Linked DNA regions of Anolis sagrei. The main gene of each other region encodes a partner of the protein of the gene in region 4 in a complex. Links are inferred from orthologs where the notes say so. Each region holds a gene or a part of one and is shown on either strand. Other genes may lie near its edges. The genes, in order: MFAP1, SF3B4, DDX42 and SF3B3.

Region 1 (7,871 bases), on a different chromosome or scaffold from region 4:
ACATTGCAATATATGTAGAATTACAAAACAAAAAGACAAATCCTTCCACTATTTCACAGTGGGTTCAAACCATCCTTAGGCTCCAAAGACAAACACAGGCCAGAGGTTGAAGGTAGTAGGGAACATGACATGTTTTATTTTTAAATACTTGCACAATCTAATTGTACAATGGTAGTAAGAGTATACTTTGGAAGCCTCTTTGAGCACTTCATAATCCGCCAGTGATGTTAAATGTCACCTAAGAAGAACGTATCTGACAAAACCAGCTCCGCCAAAGCACTTGGCTCATTGCCCTCCTCCACACACAACTCCTCCTCCTCCTCCGTGGCTTTTCTCACTGTTCTTGCCTTTCCAAAGTTAAACCATAGGTCACTCAGCCATCTGACTTCCTCCCACACACAGCTTAAAATGCAAAAAGCAGGGCAAAACTTTTCAGGGCATCCAAAGGGCTAAAACTGCTATCGTTTAGAAAGTTAGTAATAGGAGTAAGTGTCCCTAATCAACATCCAAAAGGTGAACTGTTCTTCCAAACTTGCAAAAGTTTTAGAACAAAAAGAATTCATTTGATTCTAGATCCAAGCCACAGATCTAACACCTACATCTCATTCTGATCTTTAACCCAAATGCAAGATGGTTCTAAGATAAGTTTGCTTTCCAAGGGGCCAACCTTATTAGAAACTAGGCCAGGCCCTATTTTCAGAATTATGTATGCCAGGGAAAAAAAGGTTTAGGTGAGAATTAGCTTCGAAATGGCAACATCAAAGCTCTGCAAGTCTGCTAATCAATGGTCCAGGGGAAATTGAAAGTGAAAAAGTGAAGGCAATGCTATAAAAAAAGGGGGAAACAAACAAATGTGAATACATACGCATGTGACCATTTTTATGGCCAGATTGGAAGGGGAGATGACACAAGGAAAATGACCAGCCTGCTGTCCTCACAAGGCTCCCATGATGTTTGGACATAGCATTGACTCGCATGGGATCCAATGAGTGTTGTTGTTGTTTGGTGCCTTTGTGTTGTCACTGACTTATGGAGACTTCATCATGGGGTTTACTTGGCATGATTTGTTCAGAGGAGGTTTGCCCTTGTGGCTGAGAGAGTGCCCCAGCCTTTCACTCAGCCCACTGGAGGACCAAGTGATTCCAAGGAAGATCACCTTCTGGGAACTTAGGTCATTTTCTTTGGGACCTTCTGAGACAGCAACCTTTAACGCCTCTTTCTCCTGGCCTTCTTATCTCGCTGGCATTTTCCCTAATCCACAAAGTGATGCACCTGAGGACAATGTGTCCACCTCTCTGTTATTGTTTCAGTTCTCATTATGACTCCTCTGACAAAAGACTTCCAGGAGGGATATTCTCTGAATCCTTACTAGTGCAGGTCAGTGCTGCCCACCCATCTCCTCAATGCCACCTGAACATGGATAGAAGGCAGCCCTGTTCCCCTTTCTGATCCGACCTGCTCTTTCTGAGAACGTGCAAGGAGAAAACTCCATGTTCTTTTCCTGTGGCCAGCTCTGATCCATCCCTTGGGCACCTGGAGCCCCTGATGTGAGGAAGCCATGAGGCCAGGGGTCTGGTCAAGAATAGAATAAAATGACTTCATTGTCATTGTACATCATACAACAAAATTTAATGCCACCCCCCATACCCATTAAATGTGTATGATGACAAAAACAAAGCACCATTCTTCCACAGTGTGGAACCCTAGAATTTAAAAGAATCACAGCCCTGGGATAAAACCTCTTTCTCAGCCTATTTGTCCTTGTTTTGCTCATCCTATCCCACCTCTTCAGATGATAATAATTAGACGAAAAAGAAGAATATCCAGGGTGAGATGGATCCTTAAGAATATTCTGAGCTTTCTTAAGGCAGCTGGAAGTATGACATTGTTCCAAAGAGGAGAGAAAAAGGGAAACCCATAATACTCTGGGCAGGAGTGAGAAGTAACACTCTGGAATGCCTTCGTATCTCCCGCTGTGCAATTGGCAAACCGTATGCAGATGCAATAAGTTAGAACACTCTCTATAGCGCAGTGGTAGAAAAGTCAAAAGCAGTTTTCCATCCAATTGTTGGTTCCTTAAAAGTGTCAGATAAATGACCACACATGAGGGAGCACCCAGGGATGGCTCTACCATGAGGCTAAAGGAAGTGGTTGGATTATAGTTTGATACTGTTATTTTTAGATTATCTTGTCAATTCTTTAATCCGTGTGACAAAATAATTTGACTGACAAAATGCCATGGGCAAGTCATCTATATTAACTAATATGCATGTTCTAGTTGTAATTAAACATAATCCTGTACCCTGGAAACTAATATAACATTGCTCATAATTTTCCATCTTTCACCACAGTGAAACTGAGTAATTGAATTACACAGCTATATCTAACGGGTCATATGTTCAAGTGAAAAGTAGAACTTACTGCAGTTTTGTTTTGCTTTATAAAAGGAATGATAATATTAATATGAAAAATGCCTCTTAATCCAAGTGTTAACATATATTTATGTTAAAACATTTTTTTAATTCAATAAAGTTTGAAAAAGGCCTCCTGGTGGCACAGCGGGTTAAACCACTGAGCTGCTAAATTTGCTGACTGAAAGGTTGGCGGTTCGAATCCAGAGAGCAGTGAGCTCCTGCTGTTAGGCCCAGCTTCTGCCAACCTAGTAGTTTGAAAACATGTAAATGTGAGTAGATGAATAGGTACTGCTTCGACCCGAAGATAAAGGCGCTCCATGCATAATAATAATAATAATAATAATAACAATAATAATAATAATCTTTATTTATACCTCACATCTCCCCGAAGGGGACTAAGGGCAGCTAACATGAGGCCAAGCCTAAAGATACAATACAGCAAAATAAAGTGCATAATACAACAACAAAAATTACATCACAATAAAGTACATACAGTGGCAAAATAAAGTAAACAAAGCAAAATAGCATAATAGAAAATCGAACACAATGGGCAGGCCAAATGGACAAGATAAAATGATAAAACCTTGAATGAGGTAGGAGTAGAAAAAGTGTATTTGAGAGGAGCCCAAAAAGAACGAACAGTACGGTTAGGCCTTCAATTTAGGACGGGAGAAAGTGCATCATAAGGACAACACTGTAGATGGAACAGACAGAAATGGGATGAATGGTCACTCTCTAAAGGCACAACTGAAGAACCAGGTTTTCAGATCTTTCTTAAAGATTGCTAGAGTGGGGGCTTGCCTAATCTCACCAGGTAATGAGTTACAAAGATGAGCACCACTCCTGAATTGGACACGATTAGACTTAATGTCAAGGGAAAACCTTTACCTTTACTAGCGTTTGAAAACTGAAAAAGAAAAGTCTCAGATAATAATACAATCTCTGCTGGACTCCCTTAACCAAGGAAGCTGCAGTATGAACGCTGCCCTTGGTCTGGTCTTCCTGATCTTGACAATATAGCAGCCAAGTTTGTGGGACCAGAATTGCCTAAACAGCGGAGTGCAATGGGAGGGTGCATCTCCCTTGTAGAGTTGATGCAGTATAACTTGCTATGGCAGGAAGGCCTTGCAAAACTGTAACTCTTGGGACTCTATTGGTCCAACAAGTGACCTGGTGTCCAGCTGCATTTGTTCTGCATCTCTGCCCCTTTGCCACTGAGGCCCAGGCAAAGGGCCAGAGGCAACAGGCGAAGCATGTCATCAAAGCACAGGCTGCCCTTGGTTTCCTTGTTTGCACAGAGGCTCTCAAAGAGGGACCTAGTGAAGATAAACAACGCTTTATCAGAAGATAAACAAAGCTCCCCTTCTAGGCCCTTTAGGACAACAAACAACGTTAACTTCCCGTCTGTCAAGATGAAAGAAGGGGAAGAGAGGGTTGCATCATTAGCGTCTGCTCCAATGATGACACCAGGCATGGACAAACCTGGACCCTCCAGGTGTTTTGGACTTCAACTCCCACCATTCCTAACAGCCACAAGCTCTTTGGGCCCTACAGATGTTTTGGACTCCAACTCCCACCATTCCTAACAGCCTCAAGCTCTTTGGGCCCTCCAGGTGTTCTGGATTTGAACTCCCACAATTCCTAACAACCGCTCTTTGGGCCCTCCAGGTGTTTTGGACTCTAACTCCCACAATTCCTAACAGCCTCAGGCTCTTTGAGCTCTCCAGGTGTTTTGGACTTCAACTCCCACAATTCCTAACAGCCACAGGCTCTTTAGGCCCTCCAGGTGTTTTGGACTTCAACTCCCAGAATTCCTAACAGCATCAGGCTCTTTGGGCCCTCCAGGTGCTTTGGACTTCAAGTTCCACAATTCCAAACAGCTTTAAGTTCTTTGAGCCCTTCAGGTGTTTCGGACTTCAACTCCCACCATTCCTAACAGCCACAGGCTCTTTGGGCCCTCCAGGTGTTTTGGACTTCAACACCCACCATTCCTAACAGCCTCAGGCTCTTTGAACCCTCCAGGTGTTTTGGACTTGAACTTCAACCATTCCTAACAGCCTCAGGCTCTTTGAACCCTCCAGGTGTTTTGGACTTCAACTCCCATCATTCCTAACAGCCTCAGGTCCCTTCCTTTCCCCCCTCAGCCGCTTAAGGAAAAGGAAAGGGCCTGAGGCTGTTAGGAATGGTGGGAGTTGGAGTCCAAAGCACCTGGAGGACCCAAGTTGGTCCAGGCCTGTTCTTAAGCAGCTGAGAGGGGAAAGGAGGGTCCCTGAGGATGTTAGGAATTGTGGGATGTGGAGTCCAAAACACCTGGAGGGCCCAAGTTGGTCCAGGCCTGGATTACACTCTCTCAGCCTCAGAGGAAATCCCCGTCTGCCACCTTTTCCGGAAGAAGTCTGGCCCAGGAAGACGCTTCCGCGCCGACAGAGGGCGCAGACGGTATGAGTCGCTCTATCCAGCTCCGCTCGTTGGTCCTCTTTGGGAGCGGAAGTCACGCGCTCCCTCTGGGCTTGTTTACCTACGAAGCTTCCGGTTCCGGGTTTCCCCGCGAGAGGCGAAGCGAGAGGGATCCGCCGTGCCTAGTGTTGCCTCTGCCGCTTCTACGGCCTCTACCGCCGCCATGTCGGGCTCCAGCAGCGCCCTCATGAAGCAGCCGCCCATCCAGTCCACGGCGGGGGCCGTCCCCGTCCGAAATGAGAAAGGTGAGAACGTGGCCATATTCGGGCCCCGCTGAGGCCTGCTTCTTCTGCGCCTCCTCCTTTCTGGTCTCCTTCTTTGAACAGAGGCCGAGTGGCCACCTGTCGTGAGAGCTTTGATCGTGTCTTCCGTCCTGGCCGAAGGGGGTTGGACTGAAGCACCTTTAAAAATCCCTTCCTATTCTTATTCTTTGCTGTTACTATGTTGTCGAAGGCTTTCATGGCCGGAATTACTGGGGTGCTGTGAGTTTTCTGGTCTGCATGGCCATGTTCCAGAAGCATTCTCTCCTGACGTTTCGCCTGCATCTATGGCAGGCATCCTCAGAAGTTGTGAGGTCTGTTGGAAACTAGGGTTATATATCTGTGGAATGTCTAGGATGGGAGAAAGAACGCTTGTCTGTTTGAAGCAGGTGTGAATGTTCCAATGGGCCACCTTGATTAGCATTTAATGGCCTAGCAGTTTTCAAGGTGTGGCTTCTTACTGCCTGGGGGCATCCTTCGTTGAGAGATTATTAGCTTTTTTGTCATGTCAGGAGCGACTTGCGAAACTGCAAGTCGCTTCTGGTGTGAGAGAATTGGCCATATGCAAGGACATTGCCCAGGAGATGCCCAGATGTTTTGGTGGTTTACCATCCATGTGGGAGGCTTCTCTCATGTCCCCGCATTCAAACCTGTGACCTGTTGGTCTTCAGTCCTGCTGGCATAGGGGTTTAACCCATTGCCTCTTGTAAGCTGCACCGAGTCCTTCAGGAGATTTTTTTTTGTCGTGTAAGGAGTGACTCCTGGTGTGAGAGAATTGGCCATCTGCAAGGACGTTGCCCAGGGGACGCCTGGATGATTTGATGTTTTTATCATCCTTGTGGGAGGCTTCTCTCATGTCCCCGCATGAGGAGCTGGAGCTGATAGAGGGAGCTCATCCGCCTCTCCCCGGATTCAAACCTGTGACCTGTCAGTCTTCAGTCCTGCCTGCACAGGGGTTTAACCCACTGCACCACCGGGGGCTTCTTCCTTCGGGAGATGGTAGCGGGGTACAAATAAAGCTTTATTATTATTATTATTATTATTATTATTGTGCCACCAGGGGCTCCAGGTGATTAGCTGTCCCTGATTGTTTCTTGTCCGGAGCTCCCCAGTCTTTATTTAATAAAAAAATCTGGCTACCAGTATTACAAATCTCTAAAATCATAATAAAGACAGGGGATCCTTGAGCCGTGAGGAGGGGCGGGTAAGAATTATTATTATTATTATTATTATTATTATTATTATTATGTTCCCGGTGGTACCCATGTTAGATATTTTGTAGTCCTATTTATTAGGAAGAGTTGTTTGTTTGGTTTTGGTTGTTATGAATGGACCCATTAGAAAACATATTGCTGCATAATGGGATCATTTCTAAAATGGTTCAGGTGAAGGATGCAACCCTCACATGGTCCACGTTTGGCCAGCTGTAATTCCCATGCCCTCCTTCAGTTGTGAGTGGGGCTCAGGCAGCACCCCTGAAGGGCCTTGATTTCAGTTCCCATCATGCACTATTGTGCCTCCCTAATGTCACCAGTATTTTAAGCTGGTTGTGCAAGTATGCGTGCTGAGTTTGTGGAAAAATAGATAAACACATATGCTGATACATATGTTAACAAATATACAAATATTTTGACCTTTATTGCATAGATAGATGATTTGGTGACCCTTTCTTTTTCTGCTTCATATCTTCAGGGGAGATCTCCATGGAGAAGGTGAAGGTGAAGCGCTATGTCTCGGGGAAGCGCCCAGACTATGCGCCCATGGAATCCTCGGATGAGGAGGAGGAGGAATTCCAGTTCATCAAGAAGGCCAAGGAGCAGGAGCAAGAGCCCGAGGAGCAGGAGGAGGAGCTGGCCAGCGACCCCCGCCTGCGCCGCCTCCAGAACCGCATCTCAGAGGACGTAGAGGAGAGGTTGGCGCGGCACCGAAAGATTGTGGAGCCGGAGGTGATAGGGGAGAGCGACTCCGAAGTGGAGGGAGAGGACTGGCATGTGGAGCGAGAGGACACCAGCGAGGAGGAAGAGGAGGAAGTGGATGACGAGGTACAGGGCAGCTTGGGTTGTGCTGTATGCTCTTTCTTGGCAGAAGAAACTCTGATCTTTTGTGTGTGAGTGTGTATACACACACATACATATACACTTACTTGAGTACCTGGCTTTGCCCAGGTTATTTAAAAAAATCAATGTTTTAATTGTACAAAATGCATAAGGTTGTGGATGAGCTGCAACTCATATTGTGCCAGGATAACCTTGAAAACCTCCATCAGTACTTCAAGTTTGTTATGTTGGGCAAGTTTGCTCTAGATGCATTATTGGTAGGGTTCAATGTGCTCTCTGGCTGTAGAGTAAACTACAATTCCCACTATGGTGAGTCAGTCCCCTCAAAACTCCTACAGTAGGTTCAGTTGCTCATGGGGGTTCTGTGTACCAAGTTTGGTCCAGGTCCATCATTGATGGAGGTCACAGTTTCTCTGGTTATGGGTGAACTACAACTCCCAGAAAGGAAGGTCAGTTCCTCCCAAACCTCTCCAGTAATCAAATTTTGGCATATCAGGTATGTATGCTGAGTTTGGTCCATTGGTGTTTGGGTTCACAGTGCTCTCTGCATGTAGGTGAACTACAACTCCCCCAAGTCATGGTGGATTTTCCTCAAATAACTCCAGTATGTTTTACTGGTCATGGAGGTTCTGTGTGCCAAGCTCGGTCCAAGAAGGGGGAAGGGGAAAGCAGGAAATAAAGAA
Region 2 (7,795 bases), on a different chromosome or scaffold from region 4:
ACTGCTAGGTTGGCAGAAGCTAGAGCTGACAGCGGAAGCTCACGCCGCTCCCTGGGATCGAACCTGCGACCTTTCGATCAACAAGCTCAGCAGCTCAGTGCTTTAACCCACTGCGCCACCGGGGGCTCCTCTTTATGGATTACCAGTCCCAAAATCCCCCAACTGTCATAGCATAGCTGACTAGGGGATCCTGGCAGTGTCAGTCCTAAAAGGAGCCTTATTTTCCCATGCTCTGGAAGTCTAGTCTTCAAGATTTGAAGTAAAAGGATCTTGTTTGTGTATGTGCCTTGACGACTTGTGACGACCCCATGAATTTCAGAGGGTTTTCCTGGGCAAGGAATACACAGAGGTGATTTTACCTTTGAAATACAGCTACAGAACTTGAGATTTCTTGGTAGCCTTCAATCCAAGTACTCACCAGGCCTGCCCCTGCTTAACGTCTAAGAGCTGGTGGATTTACTCCATTCATAACACAGCACATTGAGAAAAGGTGCTGGAATTGCTTACCTTGATGTTGGCCCGTGACTCTGTCTTTGGGCATGTGAGTGTTAACCACTGGTCCTGCTTGGAGGAAGAGTTCCCACAGGAGGGGTTCGCTGACTTTTTCATCCAGGCCGCCAACATACACAGTGGCATCTGCAGCAGATAAGAGAGGGACAATAGTTATAGTCTCAAATGCCTTCATGAATCTTGTTTGCTGATGTTACATTTGAACCTAAAGCTGACTTTGATGTGATCCTAGGCTGCATCAATTAAAAGTCTAGTTCTAGATCAGGCATCCCTAAACCACAGTCCTCCAGCTGTTTGGGCCTCCAACTCCCAGAATTCTTGGCTAATAATAATAATATAACAACTCTTTATTTGTATTCCGCTCCATCTCCCCGAGGGACTCAGGACGGATTCCAGCATGTACTGACACAGGGAAACATTCAATGCCTTGAAACAATGAAATACAGACACACGGATAAAGATAAAGGATTCCCCTTCAACTCTGGCTCTGGGGGTGGTGCTCATCTCCCATTTTTAAGCCAAAGAGCCTGCATTGTCCGTAAACACCTCCTGGGCCATGTGGCCGGCATGATTGCATGGGGCGCCGTTACTTTCCCTCAGCCATTGATTGAGGTTCTGGGTTTGAGCCTGCCACTTTTGAACTCTCGCTTGCTGGGGTGTTCCAGTGAGTGTCTCTGTAGATCCCAGAAAACTATGTCTTGATTTAAGTCGTTGACGTGCTGGCTGATATCTAAACAGGGGATGTGCTGGAGATGTCTCTGCCTTGGTCCTTTCACTTGGCTGCTACTTCCTGGCGGATGTCAGGTGGTGCAATACCGGCTAGACAGTGTAATTTCTCCAGTGGTGTAGGGCTCAGACACCCCGTAATAATTTGGCATGTCTCATTAAGTGCCACATCCACTGTTTTAGTGTGGTGAAATGTGTTCCACACTTTGGCTGGCTCAAACCCAGAACCTCAATCCATGGCTGATACCAAATGAGAGAGCCCCCCCCCCCCCCCTGGGCACACAGAAAACTGGGCGACTTGGAAGGCACCAAACAGACCGCACTTCGAGATGCAGAGCCAACCATAAGAAATGGGGTTACAAAGTGGAATCCACGACATGCGAGTGTGGAGAAGAGCAAACCACTGACCACCTGCTGCAATGCAACCTGAGCCCAGCCACATGCACAATGGAGGACCTTCTTGCGGCAACACCAGAAGCACTCCAAGTGGCCAGATACTGGTCAAAAGACATTTAATCAACCACCAAACTCACAAATGTTGTATTTTGTCTGTTTGTTTGCTTTGTTCTGTTAAAAATGTAATATAATTGACTGGTTGCCCTGACACAACAAATAAATTATTACTGCATTCCCACCTAGCTCCAGCAGACTATTTATTTATTTAGCAATTTTGTATACCGGTCTTCTCCCCTCTATCGGGGGACTCGGGCCAGTTTCCAACAATAAAATCACAAAACAATCATTAAAAACATCATATAACATATTCAATTAAAACGTTATAACAGCAAAATGCAATCACATAATAACAATGGTCAGTCGTCATAGTGAACTCGTTGTCCATCATTCATCGTCATCTATCCAATCACAGAAATACTGATTCACTCGTCGAAAGCCAAACCCCATAGCCAGGTTTTCACCTGTTTTCTGAACGACAGAATGGAGGGGGCAGTTCCGATCTCCAGTGGGAGAGAGTTCCAGAGTCGAGGGACCACCACCGAGAAGGCCCTGTCCCTCATCCCCACCAGACATGCCTGAGAGGCCAGTGGGACTGAGAGCAGGGCCCCTCCAGACAATCTTAACAACCTAGATGGTTCATAGGGGAGAATACGTTCGGACAGATAAACTGGGCCGTTCGGACAGGTAAAATGGGCCCCATTTCTTAAGACTGGCTCAGCATCTCGTGGTGCCAGAGCACAGTCTGTGCAGCGCCTTCCAAGTCGCCCAGTCTTCTGAGTGCCCGGGGGGAGTCTCTCATCTGGTATCACCCATGGATGGAGGTGCTGGGTTTGAGCCTGACACTTTTGGACTCTCGCTTGCTGGGGTGTTCCAGCGAGTGTCTCTGTAGATCTTAGAAAACTATGTCTTGATTTAAGTCGTTGACGTGCTGGCTGATACCCAAACAGAGGATGGGCTGGAGATGTCTCTGCCTTGGTCCTTTCACTATTGGCTGCTACTCCCCGGCGGATGTCAGGTGGTGCAATACAGGCTAAGCAGTGTAATTTCTCCAGTGGTGTGGGGCGCAGACATCCCGTGATAATGCGGCATGTCTCATTAAGAGCCACATCCACTGTTTGAGCGTGGTGAGATGTGTTCCACACTGGGCATGCATACTCAGCAGCAGAGTAGCATAGCGCAAGGGCAGATAGATGTCTTCACTGTGTCTGGTTGTGATCCCCAGGTTGTGCCAGTCAGCTTTCGTATGATGTTGTTTCTAACCTACAACAACCCACTGATTCGTTAATTCGTTGCTTAATTCCTGCTGGAGCGGGCCCTTGTGCAACAGAGCTACAAACCCTGGCTGGAAATGGAAAGGGAGGCCAGAAATGCTGGAGCTTCCCCTTCCCAGTTTGGCCTAGCCGCCATTATTGGCGCCTAAACCAGAGAAGAGACTCTCCAGACCCTAATATTCCCCTCTCTCCTTCCTTTGAGGGACGTTCGGAGGCCATTGGGGCTGTTGGGCCTTCTCAAACAGGCCTCCTCCTCCCTGCCTTTACCTTGGTTCCGCTCAGAGATGGGCCCCGCCGCCATCTTGGATGCCACACTCCCCGGCGCCGAGGCGGGAGAGCGCTACGCAAGGCTACTTCCGTTCCAGGACGGAAGTGACGCTAAGTGAGGGCGAAGCAGCATCTTGGGCCCAATACACCCTTTTTCTGTCCATTTCAGGGCAACTTCCGTTTTAGACCGGAAGTGGCTCTTCTGAGGGCCAGAGGAATGTCAACACCGTCGGCCATCTTGTGTCCTGGCAAAATAAAACCCGCGTCGACTCTTTTTGTCAAAAAGGGGAAAGGAATGAAATGAATCACTCGGTTTATTGTGTGTTTTGAGGAACAAGGAGGGCGAGGAAAGCAGGATCGTCGTCGACTAAAAGGAAAGAGGAGGCAAAGTAAAGGTGCGCATGCGCAAAAACACCTACGCACACCGTCGCCGCCATTTTGAGAGAGGGCGGAAGTGTTAGTACTAGGGTTGCTATTCAACTAATCAGCAGCCTTCTTTCTTTGCCTTCCCACATATATCTTTCCCTTCCTTTTCTTTCTTTCTGGCTACCAGTATTTGAAAAAAAACTTCTTCAAATTAGGACAGTAAATAAAGAGCAACACTTAAAAAACAGGGGGATTCCAGACAGGAAACAATCAGGGCCAGCTAACACCTCCCAACAAAGGATTCCCCCCGGCAGCCAGGCTTTGAAGCTGCAAGGCCATTCGATGCTGGCAACATTCACGCTTGCCTCCAACAGACAAAGAGTTCTTTAGGTTCTTGTGGGTTTTTTCGGGCTATAGAGCCATGTTCTAGAGGCATTTCTGCTGACGTTTCGCCTGCATCTATGGCAAGCATCCTCAGAGTTCTTTCTTCCTTCCACCTTCCAACAAAGGATTCCCCCCTCGCAAGAAGCAGCCAGGCTTTGAAGGTGCAAGGCCATTCGATGCTAATCACGGTGGCCACTTGCAACATTCACACTTATCTCAGACAGACAAGAGTTCTTCCTCCCACCCACCTCCCAACAAAGGATACCCCCAGGCTGGAAGCAGCCAGGCTTTGAAGGTGCAAGGCCATTCGATGCTAATCAAGGTGGCCACTTGCAACATTCACACTTATCTCAGACAGACAAGAGTTCTTTCTCCCACCCACCTCCCAACAAAGGATTTCCCCTTGCAGGAAGCAGCCAGGCTTTGAAGGTGCAAGGCCATTTGATGCTACTCACGGTGGCCACTTGCCTCAGACAAGAGTTCTTTCTCCCACCCACCTCCAAAGAAAGGATTCCCCCGGCAGGAAGCAGCCAGGCTTTGGAGCTGCAAGGCCATTCGATGCTAATCAAGGACGCCACTTGCAACTTTCACACTTGCCTCTAATAGACAAGAGTTCTTTCTCTCACCCACCTCCCAACTAAGGAGTCTCCCAGGCAGGAAGCAGCCAGGCTTTGAAGCTGCAAGGCCACTCAGTGCTGACAACATTCACACTTGTCTCCAATGGACAAGAGTTCTTTCTCCCAACCACCTCCCAACTAAGGATTCCCTCAGGCAGGAAGCAGCCAGGCTTTGAAACTGCAAGGCCATTCGATGCTGGCAACATTCACGTTTGCCTCCAATAGACAAAGAGTTCTTTCTCCCACCCACCTCCCAACTAAGGATTCCCCCTTGCAGGAAGCAGTCAGGCTTTGAAACTGCAAGACCATTCGATGCTGGCAACATTACTTGCCTCTAACAGACAAGAGTTCTTTCTCCCACCCACCTCCCAACAAAGGATGCCCCCTTGCAGGAAGCAGCCAGGCTTTGAAGCTGCAAGGCCATTCGATGCTAATCAAGCTGGCCACTTGCAGCATTCCCACTTGCCTCCAACAGAGAAGAGTTCTTTCTCCCATCCTGGACATTATCCCACAGACCCCTCAACCTGCCATAGATGGGGGAGAAACGTCAGGAGAGAATGCTTCAGGAACATGTCCATACAGCCCGGAAAACTCACGTAAGCCCAATGGAAGAAGGGCTGCACAGGGCGCCAGGTAGTCATTTGTTCCCAAAAAATGATTTTTTTTAATGGCTACTCAGAGACAAGAAACAAAGAGAGCACCATTGGGAGTTCTTAAAATACTGAAATCTTTAATAGAGGCTGAAATGGAGCTCCTGCCATATAAAATTATATTATGGGTTGTGGAGAAGATACCTGGGTTTTTACTCGTGTGCGTCATGCCACAAGAAACGTGTAAAAATCAGCACACAGTTCCCATCCTAAGTGCTGTGCAAAGGTAAACATTGGGAACAAGCTATATATATATATACAGCAATCTATCCCATAAAGAACATTTTGAAAACCAAATCCAGCAATAATGTATTTGTCAAAGCTGAGAACAAGCCAAAGATATGCAACTAAAATAGAAAGCCAAGAACATTATTATTTCCATCCCATTTCCAGCCTATTTACAATTGCACCTGAGAGCAGTATTTATCTAATTTCGTAACCACAAGCAAATGTATGCCATATTTATTTTATTCTTATGCTTTTACTGTTGTTGCTTTATCATTATTATTATTATTATTATTATTATTATTATTATTAGACTCCTTCTCTGACAGCTCCTGAAAGAAAGCTTATGAGATGACTAATAATAGTCATTATTATTATTATTATTATTATTAGCATCCTTCTCTTACAACTCCTGAACGAAAGCTTATGAAATGACTAATAATAGTCATAATAATAATAATAATAATAATAATAATAATAATAATAAGTGTCCTTATCTTACGGCTCCTGAACCAAAGCTTATGAAATGACTAATAATAGTAATAATAATAATTATTATTATTATTATTATTACTATTATTATTATTAGCGTCCTTCTCTTACAGCTCCTGAACGAAAGCTTATGAAATGACTAATAATAGTCATTATTATTATTAATATTATTATTAGCGTCCTTGTCTTACGGCTCCTGTACCAAAGCTTATGAAATGACTAATAATAGTCATAATAATAATAATAATGACTATTATTAGTCATTTCATAAACCTTATTTCAGGAGCCGCAAGAAAAGGACGCATTATTATTATTATTATTATTATTATTATTATTATTGTTGGCTCCTGAAAGAAAGCATATGAAATGACTAATAATAGTAATAATAATAATAATTACTCTTAGTCATTTCACAAGCTTTCTTTCAGGAGCCATAAGAGAAGGACATTATTGATAATAATAATAATTATTATTATTATTATTATTATTATTAATCATTTCATAAGCTTTCTTTCAGGAGCTGTAAACGAAGGACACTAATAATAATAATAATAATAACTATTATTATTATTAGTCATTTCATAAGCTTTCATTGTTATTATTATTATTAGTGTCCTTCTCTTACGGCTCCTGAAAGAAAGCTTATGAAATTACTAATAATAGTCATAATAATAATAATAATGACTATTATTAGTCATTTCATAAGCTTTCTTTCAGGAGCCATAAGAGAAGGACGTTAGTAATAATAATAATAATTAGTCATTTCATAAGCTTTCGTTATTATTATTATTATTATTATTATTATAACCTCACCTCTGAGGAAGCTTGCCATAGATACAGGCGAAACGTCAGGAGAAATGCCTCTAGAACATGGCCATATAGCCCGAAAAAACCCACAAGAACTGAGTATTATTATTATTATTATTATTATTAGTGTCCTTCTCTTGTTGTTGTTGTTGTTGTTCATTCGTTCAGTCGTCTCCGACTCTTCGTGACCTCATGGACCAGCCCACGCCAGAGCTCCCTGTCGGCCGTCACCACCCCCAGCTCCCTCAAGGTCAGTCCAGTCACTTCAAGGATGCCATCCATCCATCTTGCCCTTGGTCGGCCCCTCTTCCTTTTGCCTTCCACTTTCCCCAGCATAATTGTCTTCTCTAGGCTTTCCTGTCTCCTCATGATGTGACCAAAGTACTTCAACTTTGTCTCTAGTATCTTTCCCTCCAGTGAGCAGTCGGGCTTTATTTCCTGGAGGATGGACTGGTTGGATCTTCTCGCAGTCCAAGGCACTCTCAGAACTTTCCTCCAACACCACAGTTCAAAAGCATCTATCTTCCTTCGCTCAGCCTTCCCTAAGGTCCAGCTCTCACATCCGTAGGTGACTACAGGGAATACCATGGCTTTGACTAGGCGGATCTTTGTTGCCAGTCTGATGTCTCTACTCTTCACTATTTTATCGAGACTGGACATTGCTCTCCTCCCAAGAAGGAAGCGTCTTCTGATGTCCTTCTCTTACGGCTCCTGAACGAAAACTTATGAAATGTCTAATAATAGTCATTATTATTATTATTATTATTATTAGCATCCTTCTCTTATGGTTCCTGAATGAAAACATATGAAATGACTAATAATAATAATAGTAATAATAATAATAATAATAGTAATAATAATAAGTGTTAAACAGCTTGTGCTTCCTTTTCTTATGGCTCCTAAGCTAAAGCTCATGAAAAAAAATACAAAAATGTTGCATTATTATTATTATTATTATTATCATTATTATTATTGCTGCTTTAAACCACTTGTGCCTCCTTTGCTTAAGGCTCTTGGACTAAAG
Region 3 (8,099 bases), on a different chromosome or scaffold from region 4:
CTTCCTTCTTTTCTTCCTTACTTCCTCTTTCTCTTTCCTTCATTCCTTCCATCTCCTTCCTTTTTTCTTTCTTTCTTTCTTTCCTTCTCCTTTCTTCCTTCCTTTTCCTTTTTTCTTTCCTTCTCATTCCTTCCTTTTTTCTTTCCTTCCATCCTTTTCTTTCTTTCCTTCCTTCCTTTCTTCCTTCCCTCTCTTTCCTTCCTTCTCTTTCTTTCTTTCTCCTTCCTTCCTTCTTTTTCTTTCTTTCTTTCCTTCCTTCTCCTTCCTTCCTTTTCTTTCCTTCCTTCTTTCTCTTTCCTTCCATCCTTCTCCTTCCTTCTTTCTTTCTTTCTCCTTCCTTCCTTTTTCTTTCTTTCTTTCTTTCTTTCTTTCTTTCCTTCCTTCTCCTTTTTTCCTTCCTTTTCCTTCTTTCCTTCTCATTCCTTCCTTCTTTTCTTTCTTTCTTTCTTTCCTTCTTTCCTTCCTTCCTTCCTTTTCTTTCTTTCACTATTCTTACTTACTAAAATCTCATACTACAGTAAGATATACATCTTTTTCAGGAATACCTCCGTTTCATTATTTATATGGTTATTTATTTTGCTATTCTTGAAATCTCAAAGTGCAATAAAGGAGATTAAAATATAAATAATTATAAAAATGTGATGGTGATAATGATATTTATTTTACCCCACTTTCCTCTTTTAAATTAGGCTTGAAGCTTTTTAAGGCTCACAACCTTAAAAACAATACAGCTATGGCCCTTTTTACACTGCTGTACAAAATCCAGATTACCTGCTTTGGCAGTATAGACTCCTGTAATCCAGTTCAAAGCAGATAATGTAGATTGTCTATTGTGTGATTTTTGGCCTTGATGGCCCTTCCACACAGTCATATAACCCAGAATATCAAGGCAGATAATCCATAATATCCACTTAACTGAGTTATCTAAGTCCACACTGCCATATAATCCAGTTAATGTGGGATTTTATACAGCTGTGTAGAAGGGACTTCATATAATACATTTCAAAGCAAATGTGGATTATCTGCTTTGATAATCTGGATTATATGACAGTGTAGAAGGGGCCTTAGAACCCACAACGTATCATCTATGGTTGGATTATATGAGTCTACATTGCCATATAATCCAGTTCAAAACAGATGATCTGAATTTTATATGACAGAATAGATCCAGCCACAGGGTGTAAACATAAACTGAAAAGCCTGATTTGCATTGATAGCTAGACATAGCTATCAGATAGCCTTTCGGACTACTGACAGCTATTTGTCTTATCAGTCCTACCCAATAGTTATTAGTGGCACAGATTCAAATTTCAATTAACCTCTGATCTATATGTGTGTGTCAAAGTATGTATGTATGTCAGTTTATGCTACAAAGGCTCTTACTTGGTTTGATGGATCTGGGCCAAATTTGGCACACACACTTTTCATGGTCCAATTTAAAATAATTGAGGGGTTTGAACCTTATAAAGTCAAGAACATAGGGAAAGAAAAGGAATGAAGGGGATTAGCTGCTGCCCCTGGTGGAGCCCCTGGTGGCGCAGTGGGTTAAACCCCTGTGCCGGCAGGACTGAAGACCGACAGGTTGCAGGTTCGAATCCGGGGAGAGGCGGATGAGCTCCCTCTATCAGCTCCAGCTCCTCATGCGGGGACATGAGAGAAGCCTCCCACAAGGATGATAGAAAACATCAAATCATCCGGACATCCACTGGGCAACGTCCTTGCAGACGGCCAATTCTCTCATACCAGAAGCGACTACCAGAAGCGGCTTGCAGTTTCTCAAGTTACTCCTTACACGATAAAAAAAAAGCTGCTGCAATGTGAAGTGGCCCTTTGTCACATGACTGAAGAAGAACAGGAGTGAAGCAGACTGGCTGCTGCTTGGTGATACGAATAAAAAAAAGTAACGATCTACACTGCCATATAATCAAGAATATTTACTTTGAACTGGTTTATATGGCAGGTTAGATGTATATAGAGAAGACAATTATGCTGGGGAAAGTGGAAGGCAAAAGGAAGAGGGGCCGACCAAGGGCAAGATGGATGGATGGCATCCTTGAAGTGACTGGACTGACCTTGAGGGAGCTGGGGGTGGTAACGGCCGACAGGGAGCTCTGGCGTGGGCTGGTCCATGAGGTCACGAAGAGTCAGATATGACTGAACGAATGAACAACAACAACAAGATGTATATAATCCACTTCAAAGGAGTTAATGTGGATTATCTGCTTGGATAATCTGGATTATATGACAGTGTAGAAGGAGACTAACTCTGGAGGCCTGGGTTTGAATCCCTGCTTTGCCATTGAAACCCACTGGCTGACAAGTCATGCTCTTTCAACCTCAGAGGAAGGCAAATCTCATTTGGACAAATCTTCCAAGCAAACTTTGTACTATGACCTCTTCCACTCAGCCATATAACCCAGAATTTCAAGGCAGACAATCCACAATATCTGCTTTGAACTGGGGCCCTTTCCACACAGCTGTATAACATCCACATTGAATTGGATAACATGGCAGTGTGGATTCTGATAACCCAGTTTAAAGCAGATATTGTGGATTATCTACCTTGATATTCTGGGTTATATGGCTGGATGGAAGAACCCTAGATTAGGACTTTAGGATTGCTACAATTGGGGAATAATTTGGGGCCCTTCCACATAGCCATATAATCCAGAATATCAAGTCAAATAATCGACAATATCTGTTTTGAACTGGATCATCTGTGGCCCCTTCCACACAGTCAAATAAAATCCCATATTATCTGCTTTGAACTGGAAGATATGGCAGTGTAGACTCAGGGCCTGTCCACACAGCCCTGTATTCCAGAATATCAAGGCAGAAAATCCCACAATATCTGCTTTGAACTGGGTTATCTGAATCCATATTGCCATATAGGCCAGGGTGGTCCATGCCTTAAGTCACCTCTAGACTGGATTACTGTAATGCACTCTACGTGGGGCTGCCCTTGATGGTCCAACGGGCGGCAGCCAGGTTGTTAACCGGGGCTCCTTACAAGGAGCGGTCAACCCTCCTGTTTAAGGAGCTCCACTGGCTGCCATTCATTTTCCGGACCCAATTCAAGGTGCAGGTTCTCACCTGCAAAGCCCTGAACGGTTTGGGACCCGTCTACCTGCGTGACCACATTTCTGTATACGAACCCACACGATCTCTTCGATCACCTGGAGAGGCCCTGCTCACGCTCCCACCTGCATCGCAAGCGTGAGAGGGCCTTTTCGGTGGTGGCCCCTTGACCCTGGAACTCACTTCCTAAGGACATCAGGCATGCCCCAACTCGGCAGTCTTTAGGAGGAGCTTGAAGACGTGGTTGTTCCAGTGTGCTTTCCCAGAATAATGATCCCATAGCACTTTGTCCTCCAAACGCCCCATCACTTTTTCACCCATGTCCAGCATTATTTTTAAATTTTAATTACATTTGGCCTACCCATAGATTTTAAAGTGTGTGGGCCTATTGTTAATGCTTATATTATTGTTTTATTGTTTTGTTTGATTTTAATTGCTTCCATTGTTGTTGTTATTGCTTGTATTGTTGTATTCTGGGCTCGGCCTCATGTAAGCCGCACCGAGTCCCCTGGGGAGATGGTAAGGTAAAGGTAGCCCCCTGACATTAAGTCCAGTCATGTCTGACTCTCCATTTCTAAGCCGAAGAGCCAGCGTTGTCGTAGACACCTCCAAGTTCGTGTGGCTGGCATGACTACATGGAGCGCCGTTACCTTCCCGTCGGAGCGGTACCTATTGATCTACTCACATTTGCATGTTTTCGAACTGCTAGGTTGGCAGAAGCTAGGGCTGACAGCGGAAGCTCACGCCGCTCCCCGGAATCGAACCTGTGACCTTTCGATCAACAAGCTCAGCAGCTCAGTGCTTTAACCCACTGCGCCACCGGGGGCCCCAATGGGGAGATGGTAGCGGGATATAAATAAAAGTTTATTATTATTATTATTATTATTATTATATATTCCATTTCAAAGCAGATGTGGGATTTTATTTAACTGTGTGGAAGGGGGTCAGATAACCCAGTTCAAAGCATATATTGTGGGATTTTCTGCCTTGATATTCTGAGATGTAGGGCTGTGTGTAAGGGCCCTGAATCCACATTGCCATATTATTTATTTATTTACTTTACTTGTATACCGCAGTTTCTCAGCCCAACAGGCGACTCAACGCGGTTTACAACAAGGATAAACAAGGTTTATAACAAGGATAAAATCAATCAACGATATACAATTTAAAACCATAAGAGCATAGTATACAATATTGACACAACAATAAACAAACACAATACATCTTATAACTAGAGTCGTGATCCAATTCGTCGTCCAAATTTCCATTCCTGTAATCATCACATTCATTGCACTGTTTATCTGAATGCCTGTTCAAACATCCAAGTTTTTAATCTTCTTCGGAACACCATTAGTGAGGGGGCTGATCTAACCTCCATAGGGAGGGCGTTCCACAGCCGAGGGGCCACCACAGAAAAGGCCCTGTCTCTCGTCCCCGCCAGCCGCACCTGTGAAGCAGGCGGGATAGAGAGCAGGGCCTCCCCAGAAGATCTTAGGGTCCTGGCGGGCTGATAGGCAGAGATACGTTCGGATAGGTAACTTGGGCCAGAACCGTTTAGGGCTTTATAGGCCAGCGCCTGCACTTTGAATTGAGCCCGGTAGCAAATCGGGAGCCAGTGGAGCTGGTGCAGCAGAGGAGTTGTGTGCTCCCTGCGCTCTGCTCCTGTTACTATCATGGCTGCCGAGCGTTGGACTAGTTAGAGCTTCCGAGCCGTCTTCAAAGGCAACCCCACGTATATAATCCAGCTCAATGTGGATTTTTTAGAGCTGTGTGGAAGAGGCTTTGAAGGAACAAAATAATAAAATGAAATACGGAAAGCCCTAATTAACCAGAGCTCTACACAAGCCTCCTCCTGCTTAAAAGAGCCCATAAGGAAATAAAGGCACGTGTGACTCTTTCTTCTGACTCTACGGTGCTGCGCCTACTTATAACGTAAGCAGCCGCCACTGTCGATGGCGTCACCACGGAGGAGGACAGCGCGAGCGAGCCGTTGCGCGGTGACGTCATCGCGTCACGGTGGCCAACGTCGCGCCCCGTTTCTTCCCTCGTAGTAAAAGAGTGGAGTTCTGAGGGACGGCGGGAGAAAGGGCGGAAAAAGGAAGTGTCACACAAGGTGGTGGGTAAGAAGCGGGGAAATAAACACTGGGGGAAAGGAAGTAAAGGCGCAGGAAGCGCTGCCAGGCCTTGTGGGGTCGCTGGGGAAGAAGGAAGGGGAAGGGGGCGGGGCTGCGGCCTAGCGGAGCCACAGAAGCCTTTGGAGCTGATCCCGTTCTGTTTGTCTCCCCTCCGCCAGGCGACCTGGTCTCTCGCCTCCAGAGGAATCCGCCGGACTCTTGCCAAAGGTGACCAAGTAGGCGTGAAGCTTGAGCAGGTATTGACACTGAGGCGACGGGGGAAAGCGGCTTCCTCCAGAGGTCCTGATCCAAGCGGCCTCAGGGTGCATCTCCATGACAGAATTAATGCACTCAGTTCTTGTGGGTTTTTTTCGTGCTATATGGCCATGTTCTAGAGGCATTTCTCCTGACGTTTCGCCTGCATCTATGGCAAGCATCCTCAGAGGTAGTGAGGTCTGCTGGAACTAGGAAAAAGGGTTTATATATCTGTGGAATGACCAGGGTGAGACAAAGGGCTTTTGTAAGTTGGGCTAGGTGTTAATCTTTCAACTGACCACCTTGATTAGCATACAATGGGCTGACTGTGCCTGGAGCAAACTAGTTCCAGTAGACCTCACTACCTCTGAGGATGCTTGCCATAGATGCAGGCGAAACGTCAGGAGAAATGCCTCTAGAACATGGCCATATAGCCCGAAAAAACCCACAAGAACTGAGTGATTCCAGCCATGAAAGCCTTCGACAATACATAGAATTAATGCAGTTTGACATGACTTGGAACTGCTATTGGAACTGTACGCTTTGTAAGCCTTCGCTGTCTAAGAATGCGGTTGTCTCACCAAATCACAACTCCCAGGATCCTCAAGCATTGTGCACTGGCAGTTATGGTGATGTGAAACTGCATTAATTATATAGCGTAAATCTGGCAAACTCCCCCCCCCCCCAGGTGTTTTGGACTTCAAATCCCACAATTCCTAACAACCTATGGCTGTTAGGAAGTGTGGGGGTTAAAGTCCAAAACACAAGGAGGGACCAAATTTGTCCATGCCTGGTGTAGATGCACCCTCAGACTTACCTTCATTCATGACTGCTCACCCTACACTTTTAGTATTTTGTCTGGGTTTTTTTTTGCTTTGTTCTGTTAGAAATGTAATATAATCAACTGGTTGCACTGACACTATAAATAAATAAATAAATAAATAACCCTACACTGAAAAGTGACTGTTATTCCAGTTTCATAGGTCATTGGGTAAATGAGAGAGCAAAGTATGCCTTTAATCATTTAGAATAGTGTTTCTCAATTTATTTATTTATTTCGAGCGCTTATACCCCACCCTTCTCAATCCCCTAGGGGGGACTCAGGGCGGCTTACAAAAGGCACAATTCGATGCCTAACAGTTCACAAAATAAAATATAACAACAACAACTATAACTAGTTAAAACAATCCAATTAATACAATAGCAGCAATAAAATCATCTTGTGGTCAATGTTCGCCAATTCATAAATCCATAGTCCATCCAGCATTATCCTTTCCTACTCTGGTTGTCATTGTCCTTTATCCATCTGCCAGCTTACCCAAAGGCCTGGTCCCATATCCAGGTTTTTAACTTCCTTCTGAAAGAGAGGAAAGAGAGGAGGGATGCTGATGACCTAATTTCCCCGGGGAGTGAATTCCACAGGCGAGGGGCCACCACCGAGAAGGCCCTGTCCCTCGTCCCCACCAGCCTCTCAAACTCAGCTCCTCCAAATATTTTGGACTTCAGCTCCCGCAATTCCTAACAGCTGAACCCGACCCTCCTGACAATGAGCCATCTAGCCATAGATGTAGATAGATATATATGATTCACACACACACACACAGATATTTATTTATTTATTTATTTATTTATTTAGTACACTTGTATACCGCTAATATCTCAGCCTGTGCGGCGACTCATTGCGGTTTACAACATATTTAAAAATACAATATTCACTTTAAAAATATAAAATAAAATATAAAAATACATACATATACATACATAGTATTGGGCCACCAATACAGACCGGAACATCTCATAGTTAAAGTCGTAATCCAATTCGTTATCCTTGATTGCTAGTCCATGATCAAAACATCATCACATCGGAATTAGTTGAAAACTTGCTCGAACATCCAAGTTTTCAGTTTTTTCCGAAATGCCATTAGCGAGGTGGCTGATCTTATTTCAGTAGGGAGGGCATTCCAAAGCCGGGGGGCCACCACAGAAAAGGCCCTATCTCTCGTTCCCGCAAGCCGCACTTGTGAAGCAGGCGGGATGGAGAGAAGGGCTTCTCCTGAAGATCTTAGGGTCCTGGTGGGCTGATAGGCCGAGATACGTTCGGATAGGTATGTAGGGCCAGAACCATTTAGGGCTTTAAAGGTCAAAGCCAGCACTTTGAATTGGGCTCGGTAGCTAATCGGTAGCCAGTGGAGCTGGTACAGCAGAGGAGTTGTATGCTCCCTGCGCCCTGCTCCTGTTAATACCATGGCTGCCGCCCGTTGGACTAATTGGAGCTTCCGGGCCGTCTTCAAAGGCAACCCCACGTAGAGAGCGTTGCAGTAGTCAAGGCGGGATGTAACCAGAGCGTGGACTACCGTGGCCAAGTCAGACTTCCCAAGGTACGGTCGCAGTTGGCGCACGAGTCTTAACTGTGCGAATGCTCCCCTGGTCACCGCCGAAACCTGGGGATCCAGGCTCAGCGATGAGTCCAGGATCACACCCAAACTGCGAACCTGTGTCTTCAGGGGGAGTGCGACCCCGTCTAACACAGGCTGTAACCCTATACCCTGTTCGGCCCTGCGACTGACCAGGAGTACCTCTGTCTTGTCTGGATTCAATTTCAATTTGTTCGCCCCCATCCAGACCGTCACAGCGGCCAAGCACCGGTTCAGG
Region 4 (7,951 bases):
TCAGTACACATAAAACATAATATAGATAAAAAACATTAAATAGTATAAGACATCACAAAAGCAATAAAAGCAACATCATCAGCATCTCATTATTCTCAAGCAATGTCCAATTCCATTGTCAGGTCATTCAATTTTCTATATTAGCTACTCTGTATTTGTATTTATATAAATCGCATATAAAGAATAACCAATAAACAATAACACACAAAGATTTAAAAACCTATGGCCGGGCCAAATGTATGAACAAGGTAGGATATATCTGGTATAGGGTTTTAAAAGAGATGAGGGAGCGCAGTCCAACATATGGGTCTTACGAGGTGGCTCCTGCATTAGCTGCACATACATGCTACCAGTTAGAATGGCACTCACCTGAAAAATTGCCATGGATGGCATAGCTGATGCCTGTGGCTCGCTGCAAGGTCAGGTTGTAAAGGAACATGGTGCCGGTTCGAGGTCTTCACCTCCGTCCTCCTGCCAGCAACAGAGTCAAGCCATTAGAGACAAACGCATAGAATGGAATCGATCCACACATTGAAATGAATGCTCACCGATTCAGAAAAGGGGATCGAGATCATAGGCAAGAATGCATCATACAAGCATTTCCAAAATCAAAACACCACTTTGCAAATCCCTCAATATTTGGTTTGAGGAAGAAAGCATCTTGTCAACATGAAAACACCACACTCTGAATATATTGATCTCCTTGATATGCTAAGAAGGAATCAATTTTCTTTCTCCCTTCTCCAGCTCTGACAAGGAAGGTCCTCCTTACAATGCCTTATTATTGCCACCTGGTAGACGGCACAGGGTGACAAAGACAAGGACAGGCAGGCTGAAGGATAGCTTTCACCCTAGAGCTGTGGCTATGCTAAACTCCACAGCACTTCGTTGATGTGCAAGGGAAAGGCATTTAATCCTGTTGCACGATACACATCAGGCATGGGCCAACACCAGGCCCATTATTAATGTACAACGACAACAAAGCTATTCTAGTCTATGTATTTGTGCATATATACAGTGTTGCTTGAGTGTCACTGGAACCGCTGCCAGCCTGCATTGATGTGGCATTGGAGGCTGTGCGGTGGAGGTGGGCGTGTGTTGTCTTTGCGGTGTGTGGGGGGAAAGCATTTAATCTAGTTGCACAATGCACATCAGGCATGGACCAACACCAGGCCCATTCCTGATGCATGGTGGCAATAAAGCTATTCTATACTAGTCTATTCTCTTATTATTGCTATCTGGCAGATGGTGCAGTGCGACAAGGACAAGGACAGGCTGAAGGATAGCTTTTACTTTGGAACTGTGGCTATGCTGAACTCCATGGCTTCACATCGATGTGCCATAACAATTAGAATGTGGAGGGGTAGGTGTGTTGTTTTGCGGTATGTGCTGGGTCAACACCAGGACCATGCCTGAAGCACAATGGCAATAAAGCTGTTCTATACTATTCTCCTCTTATTATTGCTATCTGGCAGATGGCGCAGGGTGACAGAGAAAAGGACAGACAGACTGAAGGATCGCTTTGACTGACTAGAGCTGTGGCTATGCTAAACTCTGTGGCATTTCACCAATGAGGCCTTGGAGTGTGCAGTGTGTGCAAGGGGGGGGGGATTTAATCTCGCTGTACAATGCATATCAGACCCATTCCTGATGCACAATGATAATAAAAGTATTTATTCTATATATTTGTGTGTATACCCAGTATTGCTTGAGTGTTATTGAGACTGTGGCCTGCCTACCTTCTCCCTTCTCCAGCTCTGAGAAGGAAGAAATGCCTTCTTATTGCCACCTGGCAGACAGTGCAGGGTGACAAAGAAAAGGACAGACAGGCTGAAGGATAGCTTTTACTCTTAAGTTGTGGCTATGCTGAACTCCATAGCATTTCATTGATGTGGCCTGAGGGGATGTGCAAGGGAAAGGCATTTAATCTCGTTGCACAATGCGCATCAGGCGTGGACCAACACCAGGCCCATTCCAGATGCACAATAACAATAAAGCGGTTCTATTCTATTATATTCTTCTCTTATTTCTTTCTGGCAGATAGCACAGGGTGACAAAGACAAGGACAGGCAGGCTGAAGGATCGCTTTCACCCTGGAGCTGTGGCTATGATGAACTCCATGGCTTCACATTGATGTGGTTTTGGGGGTTGTGCAGTGTGTGCAAGGGGAAAGCATTTAATCTCATTGTACAATGCACATCAGGCATGGGCCAACACTATTATATTCTATGTATTTGTGTGTATACCCAGTATTGCTTGAGTGTCATTGGGACCGTGGCCTACCTACTTTCTCCCTTCTCCAGCTCTGAGAAGGAAGGCCCTCCTTACAATGCCTTATTATTGCCATCTGGCAGACGGTGCAGGGTGACAAAGACAAGGACAGGCAGGCTGAAGGCTCACTTTTACTCTAGAGTTATGGCTATGCTGAACTTCATGGCTTCACATTGATGTGCCTCCTTTCCCCCTTCTCCAGCTCTGAGAAAGAAGACCTTCCTACACTCACTCTGAGGCCTTTCCCTTTGATATGCGAAGAATCCCTGAGGCCTTTCCTTCAGGGTAGCCAGGCATGAAAGCTATTATATTCCATGCTCACACTCACTCTGAGGCCTTTCCCTTTGCTATGCGAAGTCTCTCTGCGGAGGCCTTTCCCTCACGGCGGCCAGGCGTGAAAGCTATTCTATTCTATGCTCACACTCACTCTGAGGCCTTTCCCTCAGGGCGGCCAGACGCACTTTCTCCCTTCTCCAGCACTGAGAGAAAAGCCCTTCCTAACACTCACTCTGAGGCCTTTCCCTCAGAGGGGGCCTTCCTTTCCTTATTATTTGTGCACATCTCCCGTGTGGTAGGGGCTTTCTCCCTTCTCCAGCTCTGAGAAAGAAGACCTTCCTACACTCACTCTGAGGCCTTTCCCTTTGATATGCGAGGAATCCCTGAGGTCTTTCCCTCACGGCGGCCAGGCGTGAAAGCTATTGTATTCTATGCTAACACTCACTCTGAGGCCTTTCCCTCAGAGGAGGCCTTCCTATCCCTCTGGGCGGCCAGGCTTGAGGCTCCGGCCTAGGCCCCGGCCCTCCTCCTCCTCCTCCTCCTCGGCCTCTCCGGCTCCTCCGCCCGGGCCTACCTCCAATCCCGGCCCAAGGGAGACCCCGGCTCCCGTTGTGAGTCTCCCCGGCGTGGCTGGGGCCCCGGCACGGCGAGGATGGCGAAGGATTTTCCCGGCCGCGGCCTGCTTCACCTCAGCGGCGCCATGGCGGCCTCTCTTCCCGCGCGCGCAGGCCAAAAGGGGTCCTTCCTTCTTTCCTCTCTCTCTGCCCGGGGCTGCCTTCGGCGCGCCTGAGCGAATTCCCGGAGCGACTTCCGCCCGGCCAACCGGAAGTGATGCTTTTGAGTAGGGGTCCTTCCTTCCTTGCGCTCTTCTGCGGGGCTGCCCTCGGCGCGCCTGAGACAATTTTCGACCGGCAAACCGGAAGTGATGATGGTGAGGGGCGCGGGGCCAAGATGGCGGCGCTGGGGAAGGAAGGCCGCGCGGTTGGCGGACCCGGAGTTCCTCCTGCCGCCTCTGCCTCGCTCTCCATGGAGGAAATACGCGCCCTCCCCGGCCTCACGGAGCTCGAGGCCGCCTACAGCCGCCTCTGCGCGGAAGAGGTGGGAAAGGAGGCAGGAAGGGTCCCCAGAGGGCATCCAGCCCAACCCGGAAATGAAGGAATATGGGGGAGGGTCATGGAATCACAATAATAGAGTTGGAAGGGACCCCCAAAGGCCACCTAGTCCAACCCCTTTCTGCCATGCAGGAAAAGCACCATCAAAGCACCCCTGACAGATGGCCATGCAGCCATAATAATAATAGAGTGGGAAGGGACCCCCAAAGGCCAACTAGTCCAACCATTTTCTGACATTCAGGAAAAGCACCATCAAAGCCCTCCCAACAGATAGCCCATCCAGGCTCAGAAATAATAATAATAATAATAATAGAATCCTAGTTGGAATGGACCCCAAAGGCCATCCAGTCCAACCTCATGATGCCATGCAACCATAATAATAATAATAATAATAATAATAATAGAGTTGGAAGAGACCACATGGGCCATCCAGTCCAACTCCATGATGCCATGCAGGAAAAGCACCATCAAAGCCCCCCTGATAGATGGCCGTCAAGCCTCAATAATATTCATGATGGTAATGATGATGATGATGATAAAGTTCAAAGGGACCTCAAAGGCCAACTAGCCTCAGTAATAATAATAATAGTAGTAGTAGTAGTAGAATCCTAGAGTTGGAAGGGACCCCAAGGGCCATCCAGTCCAACCCCTGCCATGCAGGAAAAGCACTATCAAAGCACCCCTGACAGATGGCCATTCAGCCATAATAATAATAATAGAGTTGGAAGGGATCCCCAAAGGCCAACTAGTCCAACCCCTTTCTGACATGCAGGAAATGCACCATCAAAGCCCCCCTGACATGATGACCATCCAGCCTCAGTAATAATGATAATAATAATAGAATCCTAGAGTTGGAAGAGACCCCAAGGGCCATCCAGTCCAAACCCATTATGCCATGCAGGAAAAGCACCATCAAAGCCTCCCTGATAGATGGCCGTCCAGCCTCAATAATATTCATGATGATGATAGAGTTCAAAGGGACCCCAAAGGCCATCTAGCCTCAGTAATAATAATAATAATAATAATAATAATAATAATAATAATAGAATCCTAGAGTTGGAAGGGACTCCAAGGGCCATCCAGTCCAAACCCATTATACCATGCAGGAAAAGCACAATCAAAGCACCCCTGACAGGTGGCCATTCAGCAATAATAATAATAATAATAGAGTTGGAAGGGACCCCAAGGGCCATCCAGTCCAACTCCATGATGCCATGCAGGAAAAGCACAATTGAAGCACCCCTGGCAGGTGGCCATGCAGGCATAATAATAATAATAATAATAATAATAATAATAATAATAATATAATAATAATAATAATACCACCCTCAATAATATTCAATAATAATATAGGGTTGGAAGGGATCGCATGGGCCATTCAGTCCAACCCTTGCCATGCAGGAAAAGCGCCATCAAAGCCCTCCCAACAGATGGCCACCCAGCCTCAGTAATAATAATAGAATCCTAGAGTTGGAAGGGACCCCAAGGGCCATCTAGTCCAAACCCATTATGCCATGCAGGAAAAGCACAATCAAAGCACTCCTGACAGATGGCCATGCAGCCATTATTATTATTATTATTATTATTATTATTATTTTGGTTACAGTGAACACCTAAAAAGCCATTCCCTTGGTATGTTTTCAGATCACAGTCGAGGAAGAGCTGGAGATGCTTCTGGAACAGCAGGGCACAATCGAGGGCAAGATGGCTTCCCTCCATCGCATGGGGTGAGTGAGATATTTTGCACATAGTTTGCAAGGGTGTTTAGGGGTGCAAGGCTCTAACATTGCCAAGGACGGAGAGAGTGGACGCCGTGAGAGCCAGAGTGGCTTCTTTCCCTCCTCTCTGTTTCCAGCCCCAACCTGCAGCTGATCGAAGGCGATGCCAAGCAGTTGGCCGGGATGATCACCTTCACCTGCAACCTGGCAGAGAACGTCAGCAGCAAAGTCCGGCAGCTGGATCTGGCCAAGGTAACCCTGTCAGGCAGGAATCGCCCCGTCATCTCCTCCGTACCCACTTGGCTGCAGGAGGCCAACTGCAGGGATGGCTCATTATTTTATTTATTTATTTATTTGCTATACTTGTATACCGCCGTTTCTCAGCCTAGCCGGCGACTCAACGCGGTTTACAACAACTTATAACAAACAACAGTATACAGTTTAAAAAGCATAAAAACATAATCCACAATACATATATCAATAAACAATCCAATACATCTCTTGACTAAAAACGTGATCCAGTTTCGTCGTCCAAATTGCCAGTCCTTCAATCATTACATTTATTGCACTGGGTTAACCGAACGCCTGCTCGAACATCCAGGTTTTTAGTCTTTTCCGGAATACCATCAATGAGGGGGCTGATCTTACCTCCATGGGGAGGGCGTTCCAGAGCCGCGGGGCCACCACAGAAAAGGCCCTGTCTCTCGTCCCCGCCAGCCGCACCTGTGAAGCAGGCGGGATAGAGAGCAGGGCCTCCCCAGAAGATCTTAGGGTCCTGGTGGGCTGATAGGCCGAGATACGTTTGGATAGATAAGTTGGGCCAGAACCGTTTAGGGCTTTAAAGGTCAACGCCAGCACTTTGAATTGAGCCCGGTAGCAGATCGGCAGCCAGTGGAGTTGGTGCAGCAGAGGAGTTGTATGCTCTCTGCGCTCCGCTCCTGTTAAAATCATGGCTGCCGAGCGTTGGACTAATTGGAGCTTCCAGGCCGTCTTCAAAGGCAACCCCACGTAGAGAGTGTTGCAGTAGTCTAAACGGGATGTAACCAGAGCGTGGACTACCGTGGCCAAGTCAGACTTCCCAAGGTACGGGCACAGCTGGCGCACGAGTTTTTTATCTTCTTCTTCTTGCAGAACCGCCTCTACCAGGCCATCCAGAGAGCGGATGACATCTTGGACCTGAAGTTCTGCATGGACGGAGTTCAGACGGCCCTGCGGGGCGAAGATTACGAGCAAGCCGCCGCTCACATCCATCGCTACCTTTCGCTGGACAAGTCGGTCATTGAGCTCAGCCGGCAGGGACGAGAAGGTATCGGATGCCATTTCTGTATGAGTCGCAAACATCCTAGGACCCTTCCACACAGCCATCGAACCCAGAATATCAAGGCAGGAAATCCCACAGTTATCTGAGTCCACACTGCCACATATTCCAATTCAAAGCAGATAACGTGGGATTTTTTTCAGCTAGGAGGAAGGGGCCCTCGCTAAGAACAACGGGGCTGAGAGAACAGGAAGTAGGAGGGAAGGAAGGGAGGGAAATCCACAGTATCAAGGGGGAAAGTGGGTTTCCAATGAAGCTCTAGCCCCAAACCTTGTTTCCACAACAGGCAGATTTCCAAAATCCAATTCTTACAAGAGTAGAAAGTGAGGTGAAATCTTCCAAACAAGGGCACAGACAGCAAAGGAAACACCACAGGGGTGTTTGCCCTTCCCTAGGCCATCCAAGATTATACACACACACACACACACGTGTGTGTGTGTATGTATGCATGACTATATGTATGTGTCTGTGTGTGTATATATAATTCTATATCTATATAAATAAAAATGTAATGTTTGTTTGTGGGATTAACACAACTCAAAAACCACTGGGCGAATTGACACCAAATTTGGACACAACACACCTAACAACCCAATGTATGTCCTTCACTCAAAAATTATGATTTTGTCATTTGGGAGTTGTAGTTGCTGGGATTTATAGTTCAGCTACAATCAAAGAGCATTCCGAACCCCACCAACGAAAGAATTGAACCAAACTTGGCACACAGAACTCCCATGACCAACAGAAAATACTAGAAGGGTTTGGGTGGGCAATGACCTTGAGTTTGGGAGTTGTAGTTCACCTACATCCAGAGAGCACTGTGGACTCAAACAATGATGGATCCGGACCAAACTTGGTAGGAATACTCAATATGTCCAAATATGAGCACAGATGGAGTTTGGGGGAAATAGATCTTGACATTTGGGAGTTGTAGTTGCTGGGATTTATAGTTCACCTACTATCACAGAGCGTTCTGAACCTCACTAACGATAGAATTGGGCCAGACCTCCCACACAGAACCTCCATGTGGGCCACAGCAACGCATGGCAGGGGACGGCTAGTGTGTGTATATATACACACATGCACATACATATGGCTGGAGTTACACTTCAGAGGGCCACCTGATGATGCAGCAGGTTAAACTGCTGAGGTGCTGAACTTGCTGATCGAAAGGCTAACGGTTCGAATCCAGGGAGCAGGGTGAGCTCCCGCGGTTAGCCCCAGCTTCTGCCAACCTAGCAGTTTGAAAACCTGCA

Evidence for each region.
Region 1: SF3B3 (region 4) and MFAP1 share a complex: the UniProt entries of both Homo sapiens proteins name them as parts of the spliceosome B complex. The link is inferred for Anolis sagrei from reciprocal best matches to the Homo sapiens genes SF3B3 and MFAP1.
Region 2: SF3B3 (region 4) and SF3B4 share a complex: the UniProt entries of both Homo sapiens proteins name them as parts of the SF3B subcomplex of the 17S U2 SnRNP complex. The link is inferred for Anolis sagrei from reciprocal best matches to the Homo sapiens genes SF3B3 and SF3B4.
Region 3: the proteins of SF3B3 (region 4) and DDX42 are in contact, whole or in part, in a cryo-EM structure (PDB 7EVN), measured with the Homo sapiens proteins. The link is inferred for Anolis sagrei from reciprocal best matches to the Homo sapiens genes SF3B3 and DDX42. Residues at the interface, in NP_036558.3 of Homo sapiens: Glu159, Ala160, His161, Tyr211, His219, Val220, Val221, Arg222, Lys223; in NP_031398.2 of Homo sapiens: Lys145, Gly146, Ile147, Arg148, Asp149, Asp150.

What each region holds. Positions count from the first base shown.
Region 1 is NC_090029.1:22,573,473-22,581,343, reverse strand, and holds the start of MFAP1 (microfibrillar-associated protein 1), read left to right. Parts: upstream 1-4,685; 5' UTR 4,686-4,689; coding exon 4,690-5,116; intron 5,117-6,823; coding exon 6,824-7,173; intron 7,174-7,871. UniProt on the Homo sapiens protein: Involved in pre-mRNA splicing as a component of the spliceosome.
Region 2 is NC_090032.1:5,535,267-5,543,061, forward strand, and holds the start of SF3B4 (splicing factor 3B subunit 4), read right to left. Parts: upstream 3,333-7,795; 5' UTR 3,265-3,332; coding exon 3,231-3,264; intron 637-3,230; coding exon 508-636; intron 1-507. UniProt on the Homo sapiens protein: Component of the 17S U2 SnRNP complex of the spliceosome, a large ribonucleoprotein complex that removes introns from transcribed pre-mRNAs.
Region 3 is NC_090026.1:29,726,668-29,734,766, reverse strand, and holds the start of DDX42 (ATP-dependent RNA helicase DDX42), read left to right. Parts: upstream 1-5,057; 5' UTR 5,058-5,194; exon of another isoform or gene 5,195-5,198; intron 5,199-5,371; 5' UTR 5,372-5,449; intron 5,450-8,099. UniProt on the Homo sapiens protein: ATP-dependent RNA helicase that binds to partially double-stranded RNAs (dsRNAs) in order to unwind RNA secondary structures. Unwinding is promoted in the presence of single-strand binding proteins.
Region 4 is NC_090028.1:506,453-514,403, reverse strand, and holds the start of SF3B3 (splicing factor 3B subunit 3), read right to left. Parts: upstream 3,327-7,951; 5' UTR 3,122-3,326; intron 472-3,121; 5' UTR 440-471; coding exon 370-439; intron 1-369. UniProt on the Homo sapiens protein: Component of the 17S U2 SnRNP complex of the spliceosome, a large ribonucleoprotein complex that removes introns from transcribed pre-mRNAs.